2 linked regions of the Cricetulus griseus genome follow. The protein of the gene in region 1 interacts with the protein of each later gene in a biochemical or structural test. Links are inferred from orthologs where the notes say so. Each region holds a gene or a part of one and is shown in the gene's direction. Other genes may lie near its edges.

Region 1 (3,174 bases):
AAAACAAAGGCTGCCTAGCCCTTCCTTCTTTCTTACCTTTAAATTCTTATTTTCCTCTAGCTTTCTCCAGGCTTCTCTGTCTTCTTTCTATTTCACAAAGTGTAGGATTTTGTGTTTTCTTTCTAGATTTATGTGTGGATGTGGGTGGTATGTGTGTAGGGAAACTATTTTTGTGTGTACATACAGAGGCCAGAGGAGAGTTGTTCTGTAACTCTTTACTTCATAACCTTAGAAAACATCTGTCACTGAACCTTAGCTAGACTGGTGACCCACAAGCCCCAGCAGTCCTCTTACCTCTTTCCTGCCTGGTGCTGCGATACAAGCACTGGATTTTTGTGTGAATGCTGAGGATCCAAATTCGGGTCCTCATGTTTGACCATCCAATCCTCTTACCCGCTGAACTATCTCCCAAGCCCCCATCCTTCTTCAGATTTAATGCTTCCTTTTTAGTTTCTAAGTTCAAGTATCTCTCAGCCACTTGGGCTATCTGTTTTGGGGAAGGATCATTTGATTCATTTCTCCCAGGGATAGTGTCTCATATCCTCTGGTAGTACTTGGAATAAATGGCCATGGTATTCTTAGTTCTTGCTGTTAAGTCTCAAGGGGAGGTCTTGATGCTTTTCCCAAAGCACATGAAGTAAAGAAGGAAGGGTATCATTAATAACTGCTCAAGCCTCAGGCCTAACTATTTCCCCTGCCCAAGGGTGTCTGCTCATTCTAGGCCTATGCTGATGTTGGTCTGTCCCTTTTGCTTCTCTACAGGACTATGACCTTTGTATCAATTGCTACAACACAAAGAGCCACACCCATAAAATGGTGAAGTGGGGACTGGGCCTAGACGATGAGGGCAGCAGTCAAGGTGAGCCACAGTCCAAGAGCCCCCAGGAGTCCCGGCGTCTCAGCATCCAACGCTGCATCCAGTCCCTGGTCCATGCCTGCCAGTGTCGCAATGCCAACTGCTCTCTGCCATCTTGCCAGAAGATGAAACGAGTAGTGCAGCACACCAAGGGTTGTAAACGCAAGACTAATGGAGGATGCCCCGTATGCAAGCAGCTCATTGCTCTTTGCTGCTACCACGCCAAACACTGCCAAGAAAATAAATGCCCTGTGCCCTTCTGCCTCAACATCAAACACAAGCTCCGCCAGCAGCAGATCCAGCATCGCCTGCAGCAGGCCCAGCTCATGCGCCGTCGAATGGCCACCATGAACACCCGCAATGTGCCTCAGCAGAGTTTGCCTTCTCCTACCTCAGCACCACCTGGGACCCCCACACAGCAGCCCAGCACACCCCAAACACCACAGCCCCCTGCCCAGCCTCAGCCTTCACCTGTAAACATGTCACCAGCTGGCTTCCCTAATGTAGCCCGGACTCAGCCCCCAACGATAGTGTCTGCTGGGAAGCCTACCAACCAGGTGCCAGCTCCCCCACCTCCTGCCCAGCCCCCACCTGCGGCAGTAGAAGCAGCAAGGCAAATTGAACGTGAGGCCCAGCAGCAGCAGCATCTGTACCGAGCAAACATCAACAATGGCATGCCCCCAGGGCGTGCAGGTATGGGAACCCCAGGGAGCCAGATGGCCCCTGTGGGCCTGAATGTGCCCCGTCCCAACCAAGTCAGTGGGCCTGTCATGTCTAGCATGCCACCTGGGCAATGGCAGCAGGCACCCATCCCCCAGCAGCAGCCAATGCCAGGCATGCCCAGGCCTGTGATGTCTATGCAGGCCCAGGCAGCAGTGGCTGGGCCACGGATGCCCAATGTGCAGCCACCAAGGAGCATCTCGCCAAGTGCCCTGCAAGACCTGCTTCGGACCCTGAAGTCGCCCAGCTCCCCTCAGCAGCAGCAGCAGGTGCTGAACATCCTCAAATCAAACCCACAGCTAATGGCAGCTTTCATTAAACAGCGCACAGCCAAGTATGTGGCCAATCAGCCTGGCATGCAGCCCCAGCCTGGACTTCAGTCCCAGCCTGGTATGCAGCCCCAGCCCGGCATGCACCAGCAGCCCAGCCTGCAGAACCTGAATGCAATGCAAGCTGGTGTGCCACGGCCTGGTGTGCCTCCACAGCAACAGGCGATGGGAGGCCTGAATCCCCAGGGACAGGCTCTGAACATCATGAACCCTGGACACAACCCCAACATGGCAAACATGAATCCACAGTACCGAGAAATGGTTAGGAGACAGCTGCTACAGCACCAACAGCAGCAGCAGCAACAGCAGCAACAGCAGCAACAAAGCAGTGCCAGCATGGCCGGGGGCATGGCAGGACATGGCCAGTTCCAGCAGCCACAAGGACCTGGAGGCTACGCCCCAGCCATGCAGCAGCAACGTATGCAACAGCACCTCCCCATCCAGGGTAGCTCCATGGGCCAGATGGCTGCTCCAATGGGACAACTTGGCCAAATGGGGCAGCCTGGGCTGGGGGCAGACAGCACCCCCAGCATTCAGCAGGCCCTACAGCAGCGGATTCTGCAGCAGCAGCAGATGAAGCAGCAGATTGGGTCCCCAGGCCAGCCGAACCCCATGAGCCCCCAGCAGCACATGCTCTCAGGACAGCCACAGGCCTCGCATCTCCCCGGCCAGCAGATCGCCACATCCCTTAGTAACCAGGTGCGGTCTCCAGCCCCTGTCCAGTCTCCACGGCCCCAATCCCAGCCTCCACATTCCAGCCCATCACCACGGATACAGCCCCAGCCTTCACCACACCATGTTTCACCCCAGACTGGCTCCCCCCACCCCGGACTCGCAGTCACCATGGCCAGCTCCATGGATCAGGGACACCTGGGGAACCCCGAACAGAGTGCAATGCTCCCCCAGCTGAATACCCCCAACAGGAGCGCGCTGTCCAGTGAACTGTCCCTGGTTGGTGATACCACGGGAGACACACTAGAAAAATTTGTGGAGGGTTTGTAGCATTATGAGAGCATTGGGTGTTTGGTTTTTTGTTTTGGGATTTTATTTTATTTTATTATTTTTTGGGGGTTTTTTGTTTTCTTTTTTCTTTTTTTCTTTTCTTTTTTTTTTCTTTTTTTTTTTTTTTTTGTTTTGTTTTGTTTTGTTTTTCCCCCCTCCCCTTTCATGTTCTTGGACTTTTTGTACTGAAAATCCAGGCGTCTGGGCTCTTTTTATTACGCCTAGATGGACTGTGACTCCCAAGCATGGAAGGGTGGATTGATGTCT
Region 2 (3,751 bases), on another chromosome or scaffold:
AGTGAACTGTAGGAACCAATTTGAATGGCCCAGTCAACATTATCCTGTCTGTAGTTTTAAGTATCTCCTATTCTTGAGGGCAAATTATGAAATTATATCCCATCTGTGGAAACTGGAAACACTCCTATCTGCCATACACAGCAAATGAGGTTCTCAGAGGCTCGTTTGCTATTACTTTCAAGTTTGATATTCCAACTCCATGGAATACATGAAAATTATAGAATCAATTAGTCGGGTACTTATTATCAGTGACCCACAACACCGACTTGCATACAGACCCTGAGAATTTGATTCTATGCCAAGTCTTACACTTCTGAGTGATTAGCATCCCTACTGTCAGCCTGGTGGAGTGCGACAAGCCTGAATTAGATGGAGGAATAACAAGTTCTAGACCACCCTGGATTACATGAGACCCCGTCTCAAAACAAAACACCTAGGTTCCATGAAGCAGTTAACCCACTCAAATGGAAAGGCGGATACCTTCCCCTGTGCAACCCACCACTCAGAAATATGCCTTACTGGACCAAGAGCACACCAAGCTTGTCTTTGCAACCCTGTAGTGCATCCAGGAACAATTCCAACCCAGAACCACTGCACTGGCAAGCCTGAAACAGCAAGGCTGAGAAGCAGCAGGATCCGTGAGGTCGGATGGGAGACTCACATGTCCGGAAGAAACTTTTCACCCTGGAACAACGTCATATCTTTGGGTGGTTTGGGATTATAAGAGGTTTTGAAAAGATGTACGGAAAGGGTAATGAATAAACGGGCCGGTTAGCGCGGTTTCTTTCATGTTTATGGTGGCCTTTACCAGTGGGTTACGGTAGGGCAGGGCTCTGAAAAAGATAAAATGTAGACGGGGTGGGGACCATACGAAGAATATGACGTTTAGGGTTTGGAGAGATTTATGTTAAAATAAAGACACGCATGAAACCCTCAAAGAACACACACACACAAATCTCAAAATGAAAATCCCACACACGAAGGTCCTCTCGGTGCACCCGCTCGTGCCCAGCCCACTCGCCCGCACCAATCCCAGAAGAGACCTGTTCTCAGAGGCTCATTTGCTATTACCTTCAAGTCTGATAATTCCAATTCCGTGGACTACATGCAAATCATAGAATCAATCAGTCGAGTACCACTCATGACCCGTGACCCCTAACACATCGACTTGCGTACAGACCCTGAGAATTCGACCCTACGCCGAGCCTGACGCTTCCGAGTTATTAGCATCCCCAGTGTCAGGCCGGTGGAGAAGGGGGCGGGACTTTTCCTACGGAAGCTATCGGAAGTGACGTGTAGGTCTCGCGAGCAGAAGGGCGCGCGAGCTCGGCGGCCCGGAACCGGCCTTGGACCGGCGGCGAAGCCTGAGGCGGCTGGCGCTCCCGCCCCATGGAGCGGCCCCCGGGGCTGCGGCCGGCCGCGGGCGGCCCCTGGGAGATGCGGGAGCGGCTGGGCACCGGCGGCTTCGGGAACGTCTGTCTGTACCAGCACCGGGTGAGGCGGGGTGGGGGGCGGCGGCGGCGGCGCCGGGTCGGTCCGGGCGGCCCTGGGACAGCGGCTGTCAGTCAGCGGGAGGGGGCGTGGAGACCTTGGGGTGCTGGGGCCGGTGAACGAGCGCGGCCGCACTTAGGGCCCTGGTGAGCCTGGTGGCCGGCCGGGTGCCGGGTGAGAGAGAGGAAGCTGCTGCAGCTGTGTGTGGTGACGAGGAGTGTGTGTGTGTGTGTGTGTGTGTGTGTGTGTGTGTGTGTGTGTGTGACAATGTGTGTGTGTGTGACTGTGTCTCTGTGTGTATGTGTCTGTGTGTGTGTGACTGAGTGTGAGTCTGTGTGTGTGTGACTGAGTGTGAGTCTGTGTGTGTGTGACAATGTGTGTGTGTGTGACTGTGTGTGTGTGTGTATGTGTCTGTGTGTGAGTGTGTGTGTGTGTGACTGTGTCCGTGTGTGTGTGTGTGTGAGTGTGTGTGTATGACACTGTGTGACTGTGTGTGTGTGTGTGTGACACTGTGTGACTGTGTGTGTGTCTGTGTGTGTGTGTCCCTGTGTGTGACTGTGTGTGTGTCTCTGTGTCTGTGTGTGTGTCTGTGTGACACTGTGTGACTGTGTGTGTCTGTGTGTGTGTGTGTGTGTGTGACTGTGTATGTGTGTGTATGTGTGTGTGTCTCTGTGTCTGTGTGTGTGTGTGTGTGTGTGTGTGTGAGTGTGTCTGTGTGACACTGTGTGACTGTGTGTGTGTGTCTGTGTGTGTGAGTGACTGTGTGAGTGTGTGTGTGAGAGTGTGTGTGCGTGCGCGTGTCTGTGTGTGTGTGTGTGACTGTGTCTCTGTGTGTGTATGTGTGTATGTGTGTGTGTCTCTGTGTCTGTGTGTGTGTGTGTCTGTGTGTGACACTGTGTGACTGTGTGTGTGTCTGTGTGTGTATCCATGTGTTTCTGTGTGTGTGTGTGAGTGTGTGTGTGTGTGTGTGTGTGTGTGTGTGTGTGTGTGTGTGGTGACGAGGAGTATGTACAAATATCAAGGATCTCTGTGTGTGTCCCTGCCCGCACACTTGAGTAAACAAGGAAAGTCCTTCCTGGTGTCCAGAGTTGAACCTGTGGAAACATTGACAGACTCTGGAATTGGCACATTCCAGTCCAGGCAAGAAACAGTGTGAGGGTGAGGTGGTAAAATGATCCTTGCTTCAAAGAGAAGGAAATAGACTGAGGGGTTTGTTCTGCAAAAGACGGGTTTGTTATGTAAAAGACAACTAACATCAGGTTCGGGAAATTTGCTTGGATTTAATTGAAAATGTTTAACCATTGCAACAGCAGTTATTTGTACTTTTAAAGGATTTTAAAGCTAACCCTCACCTTCCTTATTTTAATGTTGTTGATGGTAGGAGTGGAACACAGGCTTTGCACATGCTAGGCAAATGGTCTAACCCTGGGTTACACATCCTTAGCCCCAGTTAATCAGGTTTGAGTCATGGGTCTTTTGATAATTCAATAAAAACTATGAATCTTCTCTTCAAAAAATTAATATTCATACAAACCAGTGTATTACCACTGAGGGTTTTGCTCTCCTGAAGAGTGTTAGCTGATTTCTGTATTGGGCACTAAAGGCGCCCCAATCAACAAGAACAGTATTTTCCACCCTGAAGGAAACTTAATTTCAGAGAGAGATTGACATAGACACAAAGTACATCTGGGCATAGTGGCATATACTTGTAATCCTAGCACCCAGGGTCCAGAGACAAGAGAATTTTGAGTTTGAGGCCAGCCCCTGAGTGGGCTTCATACTGTGGTCAAGGCCAGCCTGTCTCAGAAATAAACATGGGTTCAGTGTAATCCTAGACACTGAAAGTACTGGCAGTGTGAGTAGCCAAAGAACTTTCCCTAGGGAATAGGGTACAAGTTCTCAAAGGGTGTTTGAAAAACCTAGTTCCATATAATACATTAAAGAAAGAATTTGGAAGAAGCCAGGCATGGTGGGAACACTTGGGAGACTGAGGTCCATGGGCCACAGAGTGTTCCCTTTTTAAAGAAGTGTGTATGGGAAGGAGATGTAATTCAGTGATAAAGTACATACCCAAGGCCCTGGGTTCTATCCTCAGTACTATAGATCTACCTGCCACACACTGAAAATAATCTGGTCGGGTAGGACTTGGGATCTCAGGAAATGCGTCCACAAAACATATGCAGACAGAGAGGATGGATGTCAGTCGTGTGCAAATACTGCAATGGACTTGGGCAGCATCCTCTAGATTTCAGCGTCCTCT

Evidence for each region.
Region 2: the proteins of histone lysine acetyltransferase CREBBP (region 1) and Chuk form a complex in vitro, tested with the Homo sapiens proteins (2 studies listed by BioGRID, with this or other methods). The link is inferred for Cricetulus griseus from reciprocal best matches to the Homo sapiens genes CREBBP and CHUK.

What each region holds. Positions count from the first base shown.
Region 1 is NC_048600.1:42,574,440-42,577,613, forward strand, and holds part of histone lysine acetyltransferase CREBBP, read left to right. Parts: intron 1-762; coding exon 763-2,907; 3' UTR 2,908-3,174. UniProt on the Homo sapiens protein: Acetylates histones, giving a specific tag for transcriptional activation. Mediates acetylation of histone H3 at 'Lys-18' and 'Lys-27' (H3K18ac and H3K27ac, respectively).
Region 2 is NC_048596.1:17,443,852-17,447,602, forward strand, and holds the start of Chuk (inhibitor of nuclear factor kappa-B kinase subunit alpha), read left to right. Parts: upstream 1-1,389; coding exon 1,390-1,494; intron 1,495-3,751.